3 linked regions of the Arabidopsis thaliana genome follow. The protein of the gene in region 2 interacts with the protein of the main gene of each other region in a pairwise test. Each region holds a gene or a part of one and is shown on either strand. Other genes may lie near its edges.

What was found.
Region 1: the proteins of EMB3003 (region 2) and CP12-1 interact in a two-hybrid assay, tested with the Arabidopsis thaliana proteins (one large-scale study listed by BioGRID).
Region 3: the proteins of EMB3003 (region 2) and AT2G45920 interact in a two-hybrid assay, tested with the Arabidopsis thaliana proteins (one large-scale study listed by BioGRID).

The regions. Positions count from the first base shown.
Region 1 is NC_003071.7:19,444,088-19,448,432, reverse strand, and holds CP12-1 (CP12 domain-containing protein 1), read right to left. Parts: upstream 1,704-4,345; 5' UTR 1,545-1,703; coding exon 1,170-1,544; 3' UTR 791-1,169; downstream 1-790. Other genes in the region: AT2G47390 (Prolyl oligopeptidase family protein), read left to right, coding at 2,180-2,486, 2,589-3,570, 3,665-3,793, 3,910-4,209, 4,313-4,345. UniProt on the Arabidopsis thaliana protein: Acts as a linker essential in the assembly of a core complex of PRK/GAPDH. Coordinates the reversible inactivation of chloroplast enzymes GAPDH and PRK during darkness in photosynthetic tissues.
Region 2 is NC_003070.9:12,586,493-12,592,299, forward strand, and holds EMB3003 (2-oxoacid dehydrogenases acyltransferase family protein), read right to left. Parts: upstream 3,732-5,807; 5' UTR 3,593-3,731; coding exon 2,735-3,592; intron 2,504-2,734; coding exon 2,312-2,503; intron 2,221-2,311; coding exon 2,133-2,220; intron 2,031-2,132; coding exon 1,960-2,030; intron 1,844-1,959; coding exon 1,760-1,843; intron 1,640-1,759; coding exon 1,535-1,639; 3' UTR 1,234-1,534; downstream 1-1,233. Other genes in the region: AT1G34420 (leucine-rich repeat transmembrane protein kinase family protein), read left to right, coding at 1-690, 774-1,078; AT1G34440 (uncharacterized protein), read right to left, coding at 4,856-4,935, 5,308-5,350, 5,550-5,649, 5,696-5,807. UniProt on the Arabidopsis thaliana protein: The pyruvate dehydrogenase complex catalyzes the overall conversion of pyruvate to acetyl-CoA and CO(2).
Region 3 is NC_003071.7:18,896,063-18,902,093, forward strand, and holds AT2G45920 (U-box domain-containing protein), read left to right. Parts: upstream 1-2,566; 5' UTR 2,567-3,300; coding exon 3,301-3,522; intron 3,523-3,600; coding exon 3,601-3,722; intron 3,723-3,821; coding exon 3,822-3,926; intron 3,927-4,097; coding exon 4,098-4,329; intron 4,330-4,428; coding exon 4,429-4,752; coding exon of another isoform or gene 4,753-4,837; coding exon 4,838-5,035; 3' UTR 5,036-5,241; downstream 5,242-6,031. Other genes in the region: AT2G45910 (U-box domain-containing protein kinase family protein), read left to right, coding at 1-135, 343-867, 1,051-1,797, 1,965-2,150; AT2G45930 (uncharacterized protein), read right to left, coding at 5,883-6,031. UniProt on the Arabidopsis thaliana protein: Functions as an E3 ubiquitin ligase.

The DNA.
Region 1 (4,345 bases), on a different chromosome or scaffold from region 2:
TTAGACATCGGCCAGGTCGAGCGAACAAGGAAGAACGAAACAACAAGACCACTGACTCTTCTTTTTCTTTTTTTCTTACCGCTGTGAGATTTTTCTGGAAAATCTGGAAAATACAAATTTGAGAATAGGAAACAACAATACGTAAGAGTTTTAATAAGCAAAAAAAAAAATCTTATGTGTGAGAAGACAGATACACCCCTTACTTGTTGTTGCATTTTCTTAAACCGCGTGAGAATTATAGGGGTATAATTGACTCTTTAGCGGCTGGGCCGACAAATAGATCGGCTTAATTTTTGTTGTTTTCTTACAAATTCATATATAACCTTTTTACCTTCAGATTTTAACTGGTGATACCGTGCCGATGCATTTTTCTTGTTAAAATCTACTTTTCTGAACCGCCAAAAATATATATAAGTGAACGAATTCAAATTTGCAAAATAACACAGAAGAGCATCAAACAAGCACACTCGTATCATTTACTTTAGATTAATCAATTTAATGCTAGAAGATAAACGATTTTGAATTCATTCACTTAACTTCACAAATTTTGTTATCAAACAATAAAATTGTATACATTTCAGGTGTTTTTTTTTTTGTCAAATTATTTAGTTCACTTATTCCTTAATATATTTACTGTTTCTCATCACCTTGAGGCTGGCCACAAACTGGTTCTATTCTATATGTCAAATTTGTACATCGGCCCATGCTTGATAAAGCCCATTACACTGCATCAACATAATTACATGGGCTTGTTTGTTGTTACCCATCTTGTTGAAACCAAAGATTAATTCCCATACCAGCAAGGCAGCAATTTTAAAACCGTCTAAGAAACTCTCGATCAATTCATCTTTCTCTCGGCTCAACGTCGTTTTGACACATACATCTCCACATCCACAAAAAAATAATAAGGAACGTATGCGAGTGACCTAAGATCATCTCAGCCTCATCTAAACTTAATTGAGTTTTTTATTATCAATTTCACGAAACTGCAAATGTAATCGAACCAAACACATTATGAAACATATGTTGTGTATTGTACTATTCATATTCATTTATCACATTACAATCATCAACCAAACCAAAAACACAAACATAACAACAAGGGACAAGAAGAACAAACATTGATCCATACCTAAAGTTTCATAATTCGAACATCAAAAACATATTTTTTAATTATCATAAGTACGACACTCATCAGTCTCAGGATTATCATTGCAATACTCTTCCAAAGGATCGGAGCCACCAGCTTTCTTCTTGTCCCTAGCATGACTCGCCGCCGCACTCAGCTCCTCCACCTCGTCCCAAGCCGCTACACACTCCCCGCTCACCGGATCATCAGCGCATGTCTCCTTAGCTTCTTGTATACTCTTCTCCACCTTCTCCGATATCTCTCCTTCCGATGTAGCCTTAACCACAACCATCCGCTTCATCGAACCGAATTTCCACGGGTAATTCAACCGGACCGGACCTAATACACGAGCCACAGGTCGAACGACCACTCGTGGAGTCGCGACGTTGAGGCCAGCTGCAGCTATGGTTGTCATCGTCGGAGGATTTTGATGGAGGAGAAAAGTTTTTTGATGTGAAGAGATGAAGAAGATAAAATATACTCGTTCACGTTATTAAACTCTGTGAACACAATCCTCTTATCTTCTAAGAACCAAGCATATTTTGCCACGTGTACTTAGATTTTTTCACAAAAAGTAGTATTCTACCAATTTGAGAAACATAAGTTTTTCCCCGGAATATTTATTTTATCAGCCGTTGAACATTTTTTCTTGAAAATTATAGAAGCTTTTTTTTTAATTTTTGACTGAAATAATAAAAATTTGTTATCATTTTCTCTTCTGTAATTTTCATAGACATAAACTTCTCATGAAAAGTAGCATAATAAATTAATAATTACTATATTTTTGAGTATTTCATTTTGTTGAGAAAAAGGGGGAGGACGACTGACTTATAATGGGCCATATTCCAGGAAATAAGCGCTAGTTGGGCCATAGATAAGGCCCACATAAGCAGTGACCACTACCGATATTTTTCCTGATATTTTTTGTTTTCCTGGTTAAAAATACATACAGATACAGTCGTCGTTTTGATTAGTGAACCGTCGAATAGAAAAAGAGAGAATCATTCAGAGCACTTTAAAAAGGTTAAAAAAGTCAAGTATTAAAAAAAGATGATGCGCTTTCATAAAGCTTGTCATCGTTTCTCTCTTTCACCTCTCTGCCATTTATCTCCGCCGTCTCCGTCACCGGCTTCTTCTCTCCTTCTACTTCCCAAGCTTTCCGGATTCTCGACTCTGAGTACACGACGTTGCGTAAGAGTTCGCCGATTCTCCGAAAACCCGTTGACCACTGTCATGGCTTCACGTTCTGCTTCTAGGCTTCGTTCTCTCGCATCTGCCTGTTCTGGAGGTGCTGAAGACGGTGGTGGAACCTCTAATGGCTCCCTATCAGCCTCTGCTACTGCAACTGAAGATGATGGTAACTTGGATTTGAATATTTTTGTGTATAGAGTTACTTGTCACTGGAATTGAAATCTGAGAAATCGTTTTTGATTGTTTGTTTGTGTGTTGAACTATGTAGAATTGGCTATAGGCACTGGATATCGTCTGCCTCCACCTGAGATCAGAGATATTGTAGATGCTCCACCAGTCCCGGCTTTATCATTTTCACCACATAGGGATAAGATATTGTTTCTCAAGCGGAGAGCATTGCCTCCGCTCGCAGATTTAGCTAGACCAGAGGAGAAGCTTGCTGGTGTTCGAATTGATGGATACTGCAATACCAGAAGCAGAATGTCATTCTATACTGGTTTAGGAATCCATCAGTTATTGCCTGATGGTACATTGAGTCCTGAGAAGGAGATCACTGGCATTCCAGATGGTGGTAAGATTAACTTTGTTACATGGTCCAATGACGGTAAGCATCTGGCTTTCAGCATCCGGGTCGATGAGAACGGAAATAGTAGTAAGCCAGTGGTATGGGTAGCTGATGTTGAGACTGGAGTAGCTAGACCATTGTTTAACTCGCAAGATATTTTTCTGAATGCGATTTTTGAGAGTTTTGTTTGGATTGATAATTCCACTTTGTTGGTGAGCACAATCCCTTCATCTCGTGGAGAACCACCAAAGAAACCTTTGGTGCCATCTGGTCCCAAAACTCTGTCAAACGAGACGAAGACTGTTGTCCAAGTTAGAACATTCCAAGATTTGCTTAAGGATGAGTATGATGCTGATTTATTTGACTACTACGCTTCATCACAACTAGTATTGGCTTCTTTGGATGGTACTGTGAAGGAAGTAGGGGTTCCTGCAGTGTATACATCGTTAGACCCTTCGACAGACCATAAGTACTTGTTGGTGTCATCACTTCACAGGCCATATTCCTTCATTGTACCTTGTGGTAGATTTCCAAAGAAGGTGGAAGTCTGGACAACTGATGGTAGATTTGTAAGACAGCTATGTGACTTGCCCTTGGCTGAAGATATCCCCATTGCCTCCAATAGTGTGCGGAAAGGAATGCGTTCAATAAACTGGCGAGCAGACAAGCCTTCAACCCTCTACTGGTATATATTTGAGATTCAAAGTGAATCACATGTAGTACACGTGCCAAAATGGGATTTGGAAGTAATTAATTTACAACTCTTCTGAGATATGTAGGGCAGAAACACAAGATGGAGGTGATGCCAAAATGGAAGTTTCACCGCGTGATATAGTTTATATGCAGTCTGCTGAACCATTGGCAGGAGAAGAACCAGAAGTGTTACACAAGCTCGATCTTCGTTATGGGTAACAACTAAAAACACAGCAGATATTGTAGATTACTTATGCCATCTTATCAACAAACTGACTAACTTCATCAAAGCCTTCTATGTCCTAACATTGATCCGATTTCAATTCTGCAGAGGGATTTCTTGGTGTGATGATACATTAGCTCTGGTTTATGAATCATGGTATAAAACACGACGAACAAGGACGTGGGTTATCTCTCCTGGATCTAACGATGTCAGTCCACGCATCTTGTTTGATAGATCATCGGAAGATGTGTACTCAGACCCTGGCTCAACCATGCTGAGAAGGACCGATGCTGGAACGTATGTAATAGCAAAGATAAAGAAGGAAAATGATGAAGGCACTTATGTATTACTGAACGGAAGTGGGGCTACACCACAAGGGAATGTGCCCTTCCTTGACTTGTTTGACATGTAAGCCCAACCTGACAATGATTTCTCTTTCTTTTGCTTCTCTTTTTGTTTTTATTGCCATTAAGCGATAACAAACTGAATGTTCTGTACAAAATTTATCTAGAAATACAGGCAACAAAGAACGAATCTGGGAGAG
Region 2 (5,807 bases):
AATTTTCAAGGCGCTGCAAGGGGATTAACAACATGCAGGTCGACCCAGATGAAGAAGGGTCAACTGTTCTCCCTGAGGTAATTCATGGAAAGCTTCTCACTTCAAACGCTCTACATAGATCAAACATCAACTTCGCCAAAGCTGTGGAAGCTGTTGCGCATCCAGAACATGGTCTGCATCAGACAATGTTCTGGAGTTACTACAGAGTTGTCATGCCCTCTGGTTCGAGTTACTTCATCAAAAAACTTAACACAAGAGACAGGGTTTTCCAGCAAGCGAGTAGTGAGCAACTAGAGGTAGAGCTAGAGATGTTGGGCAAGCTACATCACACAAACGTAATGGTTCCACTAGCTTATGTCCTCTATTCAGAAGGATGCTTACTCATCTATGACTTTTCTCACACATGTACACTTTACGAGATTCTACACAACCATAGCAGTGGTGTGGTTGATTGGACAAGCAGGTATAGTATTGCGGTTGGCATAGCTCAGGGAATCTCTTACTTGCATGGATCCGAATCCAGCGGTCGTGATCCAATCCTTCTACCAGATCTGTCTAGTAAAAAAATACTACTCAAGTCGCTCACTGAGCCTCTAGTAGGGGACATTGAACTGTTCAAGGTAATCGATCCTTCCAAAAGCAACAGCAGCCTCTCAGCAGTTGCAGGCACCATCGGCTACATTCCACCAGGTGAACACATTATACAAAACTTATATGGGCTTGTCTGAGAAACAACAGCTCTCTTAATCTTTCACTTTTGATCACTTCATCAGAGTATGCTTACACGATGAGGGTGACAATGGCTGGGAACGTCTACAGCTTTGGGGTGATTCTTTTAGAGTTGTTAACTGGAAGGCCAGCTGTAAGTGAAGGAAGAGATTTGGCTAAGTGGGTGCAGAGCCATTCGAGCCATCAAGAGCAGCAGAACAACATTCTTGATCTCAGAGTGAGCAAAACATCAACTGTAGCAACAAAGCAGATGCTCCGTGCCCTCGGTGTTGCTCTTGCCTGCATAAACATCTCTCCTGGGGCAAGACCAAAGATGAAGACTGTTCTACGGATGCTCACAAGACTCTAATTAAAAGTGTCAGATGCATGATATGTAAATTTTTGCTTGTTACTGTATCTGTATGTATAAGCAGCATAGAGATTAGAGAGGTTTCTTTCCTCTGACAGACTATCATCTGCATCTCCATTTTTGAGATGCTGAGAGAAACAGGAAAGATGTAATGCATTCACAGTTGTAGTTTGAAAATTATCAGTCCATATAAGATTCATGTTATTAATCATGCTAAAGTTATCAGTTCATATAAGATTCATCGCATGAAGTGGATATATATGAAGTCAGTAGCAAAATCATGTGGGACGGCCTTTCCATGCAGAAAATGTTGCAGAAGATATATCTCAAACAAAGAAATGATTATGTTTAATCTTAAAAGGTTTGTTCTATCAAAGAAACTGATTACCGCAGAAATACAAGCTCCCATGGAATCAAAAGCAGAGAAGACTGGGATGCGAAAAGCAGTAATTTGGCCTAGAATGTAAGGTCCTTTGGGTCCTCAATAATGCTTGCCAATGTTTGCAAGAACTGTGCAAGATCAGCACCATAGATGACACGATGATCTGCCGTCACATTCACCTGTGGGTTTGCAAGTGACCAGTCATCATTAACAAGTTCCCAGGAAAACTCGAGACGTTTTCATGAAGACAAAAAGGAGAAGAGGAACAAGTTCTAACGATGGTTGATAATAACATTTACCTGCATCTGGTTTTTCATGCCAATGCGGCCGTCTTTAGTTGCAACCACTGAAGGTTGAGATGCTCCGACAGCCATAATCGCTCCCTTCATTGATCAAAGACAAGAAAACCAATGAGCTGTTATCCTTAGCATAATTATTAGGCTAAAAGACATAACCAAGATACAAACTAAAATACACGCATAAAGGTAAAAGCACTAACTGTTCCAGGGGGTAGAATAGCATCAAACCGATCAACGCCAAACATTCCTAGGTTAGAGAGAGTGAAGGTACCTGCAATTACCCGGAAGGGAAATAAAAACAACAAGACTCAAACAATCTAGTTGAAGGATTACTCAAACTCAAATCACTTCAATATTCTAGTAGTAGGATTACCAGTGTTGTACTCCTGAGGCTGCAGCTGCTTGGCTCGAGCCTTATCAACCAATTCTTTCCATTTTCTAGATAACGAATAAATGTCAACCTGTTTACAAAAGATAGAACAACCCACTGATACCGGTTTTGAATACAGAGTAAACTCAAAATCTCTTATAAAGCATACAAAAGAAAAGAACCTTATCAGCGTTCTGAAGCACCGGAGTGATCAAACCACCATCAATAGCAACAGCAACAGCAACGTTGATGCTACTATTATACACAAAACTGTTACCATCTCTACAAGACGAGTTTACAACTGGATGTTTCGCCAGTGCAAGTGCAGTTGCCTTTGCTAAAAGTGCCGTCATTGTCACACCTTTCGACTTAATCTAAACAAACCAAACACAAAATGTGAACCAAATCAACATTTACACTTACAGTTTGTAACTAGTGTATGCTTCTGATGCACATCATAAGATACTATCATTTATAATTCAACTAGCTATCTCTCATAATCTCATCCCAAAGTTCAAAACTTCATCAAGCAACTATTATCACAATCAATGGAATCTCCAGTCTACTCTATCATACCAACCAAACGGATTTCAAAACACACTCACCTTCTTGTAGAGAGCATCAAGAGCATCCGTACTAATCGTGTAACCGACTCTAAAAGTAGGAACACCAAGACTCTCCACCATATTCCTACTCACAGCCCCCTGCATTGTCGTAAAAGGAACCACCGATCCCAACTCCACACCAGGAGCTGCCACTACCTCCTTAACAGCAACAGCAGCTTGAACTCCTCCTCCAGCAGCAACCGCCTCAACATCTTTAGCCACAATCCTTCCCATCGGTCCACTTCCAACTAAACCAGCCAATTCAACCTTCAACTCCTTAGCTAACTTCTTAGCATAAGGAGACGCCACAATCCTCTTCCCTCCTTCAGACGCCGGATGCACCGCAGACGCCGCCACCGCCTTAATGGACACCGGAGCAGCTGCAACCTTCTTCTCAACACTCACAGGTGCTTCAACTGCAGCCGTGGGAGGAGAAGCCGGAGGAGCCTTAGAATCACCACCACCACCACCACCAGAAGCTTTAGCTTTAGCATCAGCAATCTCATCTTCAGTTTCAGCTAACAAAGCAATAGCAGAACCAACAGGAGCAACACCACCTTCTTCAACCATGATTGCAGCTAGATAACCATCATAGAAAGTCTCAACATCCATATCAGCTTTATCAGATTCAACAACAACAACACTCTCTCCTTTGTTGAGTTTATCGCCTTCTGATTTAACCCAAGAGACGATTTTGCCTTCGGTCATCGTGGAACTTAGTGCAGGCATGAAGATTTCTCGGATCTTTGCTTGAATTGGGATGATTCTGGGCTTTACCCGGAAACCCGTAACGGAAGATCGTGTTTTTGTGGGGAGGGAAACTGAAGGTAAGAAGGGTGTTTGGAGAAGACGAGACATTTTTCGAATTTCGTTAATCGCAATGCGAGAGAGAGAGAGAGATAGAGAGAAATGAGATATAAGAAGAGTGAAGAAGCTCCTCGGAATTATCGAAGAGCAGGCGGAGTTTGCCAACTAATTTACCGGTGACGATCACTGTGTGACTCTTACTAGTGTATTGAAGGTGTGATACACGCGCGTTTTTGTTGTTGGGTATTGGGCTTTTTTCGAAGGCCCAATAGAGAACTATTCTGTAATCTTTTTAAAACCTTTAACCACATGTTAAGTTTTTTTACCATACACATTTTTCGCCCTGATTTTATAGTTTTTTACAGTTTTCATATAAGATTATCTCCAATGTAAATCTCTATTTTTCTCTGTAAAATAAAGCATGATTTCTCTCTTATGTATTATTTTATATGTTATTCTATTTTTAGAAGAAAATTTCATAAAAGAAAATTAAGGAGAAACTTATATTTTGTGTTTTAAAAAAATTTCGGTATACAAATTTGTTTGATGTTTGATCCATTATAAATATTGAATTTAAAGATAAATATAATTTTTAATATATTTCTTTGGTAAATGATAAATAATCTGGACAGTTGCAGAATATTAGTGTATAATACTTATAATATTATTTAGGGGTTATTGTCAAAAGAGGATGTTTTTTGATAAAAATTTTGATTTTGAGGCTTTTGTGTATGATCTTTGAAAAAGAGTAGTTTTGATAGGGCGATTTGATCATTTTACCCCTGAATAATCTCATCATCTTCTCTCATCATCTTCTTGCACGCTCCTCTTCTTTTAAATCCAATTTTTTTTCCAAATCTCATATTCTTAAAATCTATTCTAACTAAAAACATTCATTGATTCACAATAATTAAACCCTAAAGATGATAGTATTTATGAAACCAAAGCAAAAAATTAAACGAACGAAATGAAATCATCTTGCAAATGAAGAAGAAGGTGAATAGTAAAAACAGAGTTTCAGATTTGTGGCAGATCTGCAATCGAGTATTCGAAATCAAAGCTTTTCAATAATCATTTGCGTCCTCACTATTCACCATTAATGATATTTTGTTTATTGGAAGAGAATTCCATTCAAAAACTAAACCCTAATGATTATTGTAAAGGGAACCCAAGCAAAAAAAATCAAACGCACATTGATAAGTTTCTGAGATAGAATCTGATGATAAAGAGGAAGATCAGAGAAAAGAAAAAGAAACTGAGCCATCTCTCTCATGATTCACGGCCGCCGACGCCGTTCGTTACCATTGAAGGAGCTCATCTTAAGGGACAAAACCAATCAACTATCGTCACCGGAGCTAGCCCCGCTTCAATCACGTTGTAAAAAATCAATTGATCTGCAGAGAGAGAAAGAGATTTGATGGAAACGGAGACAGATCCAGTTGTTAATGGCGATGATGATGGCGTCGGTGGTTACGTTGGTGATGATGATGATGAGGGTTGATAACGACGACGACGACAACACAAAAAAGTCATACAATTTTTATTTGTTTTTGTGGTTTTTTAGACAAATAAGTCTATTATTTATGATTATTTATCGAATATCTAATAAAATGCCAAAAATTGTTTGCTTCAACGAATAATTTAGGAGTCCATTAATGAATAACATGACAATTTTGTTTTGGGCCGAAACCCACAAAACTTTCTTCAGATCATTTCACATATTGATTGATTTTTGTATTTTATTGAAAAGATAAATGTTTATTTACCTGAATAGATAATTCTAGAAGAAACCTTGTCTTTTCTTCTTCTCTAAACAAACACACACCAAAATAAAATCAAACGGTTGTTCGTAGTATGAATCACTTGCAATTTGTTTTGATAATCAATACACTATGACACCGTTTATCATCTGTTAATCGCTAATCTGAAATTTTTTTTTTTTTTTTTTTTAAATTTTTACTAGAAAAACATAACATATATGATAAATGCCGAGAAGGGGTACGCAAACCTGAAACAGAAACAAACAAGGCCGAGGCCCGAAACAAGAGGACGCAGCCCCCGCAGCAAGAGGAAGGTCCAAACACAAAGTGAACCCAATGAAACCAAGCCTACAAAAGAAACAACAACTGAAAATGTCATTGGGATAAGGAGAACCAAGTGGCGAGGAGGGTCAAGGCAGGAGGGGTGGATCTCTGAGCCCTAGAAAGAGGATCAAGCCTTGTCCTAACTATCATCTTGATTTCCTTAATGATAGAAGTAGTAGGAC
Region 3 (6,031 bases), on a different chromosome or scaffold from region 2:
GATGGGGTGGATGATTCTTTTAACGTTAAAATCCGAAAAGCCACGTCAGAGGCTCACAGTTCAAAACAAGAAGCTTTTGCAGAGACTCTTAGGCGTCAGAAAGCCGAAAAAAACGCACTTGATGCAATCAGAAGGGTGAGTTTCCTTACAAAAATAATTTAGTTGGCACTGTTAAAACTTTTTTGGAAATGATTGCTAGATGTTCTAGCTGGAGATATATACTATACTGGAACCGCTAGTGTATCACTTGGAGAGATCCCTAGGCTTAATAGTGGTGCTTCTAGTTACACCAATAACAGCTAAAATATTATAGTATACTGATATTATAGGTAATTATTATAGGCTAAACAATCAGAAAGTGCCTATTCTGAGGAATTGAAGCGAAGGAAAGATACGGAGATAGCAGTAGCGAAAGAGAAAGAGAGATTTATAACAATAAAAAACGAGCAAGAGGTGATCATGGAAGAACTTCAAAGTGCAATGGCTCAGAAAGCGATGCTTGAGAGCCAGATAGCAAAATCTGATGGTACAATGGAAAAGCTAAACCAGAAGCTTGATATAGCTGTGAAGTTGTTGCAAAAGTTGAGGGATGAACGAGAGGAGTTGCAGACAGAACGTGACAGAGCACTCAGAGAAGCTGAGGAGTTAAGGAGTCACGCAGAAACCTCAACCCTACAGTTGCCTCAGTACTTCACGGATTTCTCATTCTCCGAGATTGAGGAAGCAACTAATCACTTTGATTCGACCCTGAAGATTGGGGAAGGTGGATATGGAAGCATCTACGTTGGTTTACTGCGTCATACTCAGGTGGCTATAAAAATGTTGAATCCTAACAGTTCGCAAGGCCCTGTAGAATATCAACAGGAGGTATTTTCTTGACATATTATTAGTGAAATTTCTTGTTTAGTTTCATCATCATTGTTTACTGGTTTATTGTGCACAAACTGCTGCCTCTACGAAAAAGGGGACTTTGAAACACAGTTCTACTGTAGTTTTGATTTTATAGTGTTCGCTGTGGAGGAGCTTTGACTTATTCTTGCGGCATTGCAGGTTGATGTCCTAAGTAAAATGAGGCATCCAAATATCATTACGCTAATTGGAGCATGTCCAGAGGGGTGGAGTCTTGTCTATGAGTATCTTCCGGGTGGAAGCCTTGAAGACAGGCTTACTTGCAAAGACAACTCTCCACCCTTGTCGTGGCAAAATCGTGTGCGCATTGCCACTGAGATATGTGCAGCACTTGTCTTTCTTCATTCTAATAAAGCTCATAGCTTAGTACATGGTGATTTGAAGCCGGCAAATATCCTACTCGATTCCAATCTCGTTAGCAAGTTAAGTGACTTTGGGACCTGCTCACTACTTCATCCTAACGGAAGCAAAAGTGTGAGAACTGACGTTACAGGCACAGTTGCCTATTTGGATCCAGAAGCTTCCAGTAGTGGAGAGCTAACTCCTAAGTCAGATGTTTACTCGTTTGGGATTATCTTATTGCGCTTGTTGACCGGGAGACCTGCCTTACGGATATCAAATGAAGTGAAATATGCCCTCGATAATGGAACATTGAACGACCTCTTGGACCCTTTAGCAGGGGACTGGCCCTTTGTTCAGGCTGAGCAGCTTGCTCGCTTAGCATTGAGATGCTGCGAGACTGTCAGCGAGAATCGTCCAGATCTTGGAACTGAAGTGTGGAGGGTACTTGAACCTATGAGGGCTTCTAGTGGAGGATCTTCATCTTTCCATCTTGGCCGTAACGAGCACCGGATAGCCCCTCCATACTTCATTTGCCCCATTTTCCAGGTAACTAATCTGTATATTTGAGTATGGATTTCCAGTATTATTATCAATCTGAGAAGACTTCGATCACAAAGTCATTAAAATTTGCTTATCTGAGGTCTCAAACCGTTATGTTGCAGTCTAATGGTACTCAACCCGTTCTTCCTCTGCTTTGTTTTCAAATATTTCAGGAAGTCATGCAGGATCCACACGTGGCTGCAGACGGTTTCACATACGAAGCAGAGGCTATAAGAGCGTGGCTGGACAGTGAGCATGATACTTCACCAATGACCAATGTCAAGCTTTCTCACACCAGCCTAATAGCTAACCATGCTCTTCGTTCTGCGATTCAAGAGTGGCTTCAACATCATTTGTGAAAATAAAATCCTTCAAACCCTCAATCCCTGTTCTCTTATGAAAAAACGTTTTTGCCTTTTCTGCGGGAGGCAACAGAGTAAGTGAGTAAGATTAGTGTTTTCAGTCTTCCTTATACATATACATACGATCTAATCATGGATAGCAGCATATTTGTTTACTTTTTCAAGCATAGTGTAAGTCCTCCATATCAGTCATATATGAAAAGAAGAAGCTGGTGAGATTTGTATGTGGATATGTATATATATATATATATATATATATATATATATATGTTCTGTATGAAAAAAAAAGTTATATGCTTATTCGGTTTGTGTGAGAAGAACTGCCACTATTTTGTTCTTCCATTATGTTCGGCTCTCTTAAGAACAAAGATTAGCCTCTAATTATTGGACATGATCTCACTGATGATGCCTTTGCTTAGCTAAAATTAGGATGAGTCTTACATTTTTAGTCAAGACTATCGTGTAAGACTTGTTTTCCACCTGGAAGAAGTTACCTTGGATTGCCTATAGTGATTTTTAATGAACTCTTAAAATTCTTGTGATTAATCTTACTTAATTAGCAGTGGGGTCAGGTCGTTTTGGCGGCTAGTGGCATAACTGTATAAAAATTCAGGATTGCACTGAGGTAAGCCAACCTAACGCAGCCTTTAAAGACACCAACCTGGAAAATGCTGAGAGTATTCTTCAGGATTTTCTCAAAAGTCTTGTGAAATTCGTGTATTTGTGTCAATATGTCGACATTTCTCTTCATACACAGATACTGTCGCTTTTGATTCCTGGTTTGGCTTGTTGAAAGTCAAAAAGCCTTCATTATTTTAATACATGATTCAGCTTCTGCGTTAAGGCTAGGTTTCGTCATTGGTACCGTGGTTGACTTCGTGTGCATGTTATAACATAAGAAAATGTTCTTGCTTGTTGATTGCTCCCTCTGTTAGATAAGTCATCTCTTTTCTCGTATTGCAAATTTTAAGTTTGTTCTTGTTTATTCTCTTGAGTGAATTAGAGGTATGTTTTGAGTGTTCTCATATGGAGTGTGTTGGAGATAGGAGCTTCGATCCAAGCAAAGGGGAAAAGTGTTGGCTTCATGAGGCTTCGATGCAGCCTTAAACGCTAAAATCCAGGCCAAGCAAGATGGAGATAGAGAGAGATGATGGGCAAATCAGGTTCGCAGCAGCTGCTGATGGATGAGAAGATATATGTTGCAGTGGGGAGTGACTTGGGGAACAAGTCCACTCTTGTTTGGGCGATACAGAACACTGGAGGCAAGGAGTTCTGTATCGTCCACGTTCACCAGCCACTCTACAGAAAAGAAAAGGAAAAGACACAAAAGATCCTGGACAAATACCTACAAAAATGCAGGCAAATGCAGGTATGTTTTTGTTACTTCTATTGCGAATAAGTGATTTGATGATACAAGAGATAAAGAGAGCCGATTGTGATATTCTAGGTCTGTGCTGAGATGATACACATTAAAATGGAGTCGGTAGAGAAAGGGATCATCCAATTGATCTCAGAGCGCAATGTCAAGAAGCTCGTCATGGGAGCTGCGTCAGACACACGCTATTCAATGTACAAAGCACACCGGCATAACTAAATAGTTTTGGATTTTCATCTTCTCATAGTTCTTGTTATTTCACCGATGGACTCATCATTAATCTTAATTTGTAGGAGGATGGCAGATCTGTTGTCCACGAAAGCCATTTACATTCGTCAAGAAGCGCCTGCTACTTGTTGTATATGGTTTACTTGCAAAGGATACCTGGTATATAAAAGGTCTACCCCTAGTCCCTGTAATCTCTGTACAACTGTAAATACTACTTCAGAAGTTTTTTTTAAAATGATATTTGTGTTTTGTCACACTCTTGTGAGTTTTAACAGGAACTGAGATTGTGAGAACAATCACATGTCACAAGCTCTAATATATCTGGTGATGGTATAATGCAGGGAATCTATCATGGGCAACACCTCTCTAGAGTATGCATCTACAAGTTCTGGTCAAGATTCAGTCCGTTCACGAGGATCTGTTATACCTTCGCGCCAATTCACGATATCTAGAGGAAATGGAAATGTGTATCAGTTAGCTGTCTTTGAAGCTGAGAAATCGAAAAAAGAAGCAAGCTTGGAGGCTTTCAAGCATCAAGAAGTTGTAAAAGAGAAAAATGAAGCAATCAAAAGGGTAACATCTTCTTGGAATCTCACATAAGCTATTGCCATTGCCCATTGGGAATGTTGTCCTTTTTTCCTGATGATAACGAAGTTTTCTGACCAAATGTAGGGTAAAGAATGGGAAAGTGCCTATTTGGAGGAGTTGAAACAAAGGAAAGAAACAGAGATGGAGCTGAAGAAAGTGAGAGAAAAACTCGAAAAGATGAGGTATATATCTGAGAACCGAATAACCGAGTCTTATATGTTGGTACAAAAGCTGCAAGACAAGTATAACTTGGCAACGAAAGTGTTGAGAAAAGCCAAGGAAGAACGAGATTTATTGATTAAAGGACGCGACATAGCAATTATAGAAGTAGAGGAGCTAAGAAAAGAGGTCTCTCGATCTGATGAGCACCGTGAAGCTCCTCAGTACTTCATCTGTCCCATTTCACTGGTAAATAAAAAAGTCAATATGGAGAGAAACAGAAGATTGTATCGAATCAGTTCACAAATTAAAACCTTTGTTTTCAATGTTTCAGGAAGTGATGAAGGATCCACAACTAGCAGCAGATGGATTTACATATGAAGCAGAAGCCATAAGTACATGGCTTCAGGGAGGACATGAGACTTCCCCAATGACAAACACGAAGCTTCATCATACAAAGTTAGTTCCAAATCTTGCTCTTCGATCTGCAATCCAGGAATGGCTTCACGCTTCATCCTCTTTTAGAAAGTGAACAGAAATAAAATCACACTAAATATATATTCTTAAGCATTTGCTTCAACGAACACGTCTACTTGTACTTTATATTAAACCCATGTAATGAAAAACCTTTTCTTCATTTTTCTCTCCATTTTCTATTTATTTTCTTAGTAATACAATCTGACCATATGTATTACGTTGAAAACAGCCAATTAACGAAATAAAATATGAAAAGATACTAAATCCCATTTGTTAATTGACTTTATCTTCAGTGTGTGAGACGTAACTGCTTGTGAACTTCTTCTTTTCTCATCTTGTGTCAGTGTGTGGCTTGTGAACATGTCTTCATTAGTTTCTTTCGAGTTTACATAACACAAAGTGAAACAAGAAACTGGATTCTATATTGGATCCACCAACTAAAATACAAGAAGAGAATAACTAATGAAGTTTGCATAGTAACTAGAGAGGCATTGGAGGGATCCAGTAAGGGAAGAGTGGTGTTGTGGAGAAGGCTGAGGGAGACTTGGGACGAAAGGAACGTGGTTTTCTAGTGGCGATATCGTAAACACCAAAGCCATCGCCTGCAAAATAGATGGAGTTAGGGTTTAAGCCAGGGAATGAGCTTGCCTTGACACAGAAGGGCTCACTTCTGCCGAGGAATATGCAGAGATCTCCAATGTCCTCAGTGTAACACATGTTCATATCTTCCTCCTCTCTAAAGACCATGAAATGCTTTGTTCCACGACACAAGAATGTCATCCTCTCGCCCGGTTTGTAGTTCTGAGCGTACCACTTGACTAGGAAACGCTGTCCTGAGGGAGACTCAACGAGGTGTACAGTCGGCGGGGAACATGAGTCCAAGAGCTCCCACTCGGACTGTGTCACCTCAGGAAGGTTGCAAAACCGCAACTCAAATCCTCGAAGCAAGAATCCCAGAAACCCAACAAATGGCCTCCAACACTAGGAGTGTAGAACTTTTTATCTCTCTTTGAATACATAACCTTTGACTGATCAAAAAAGTGGGATTCGG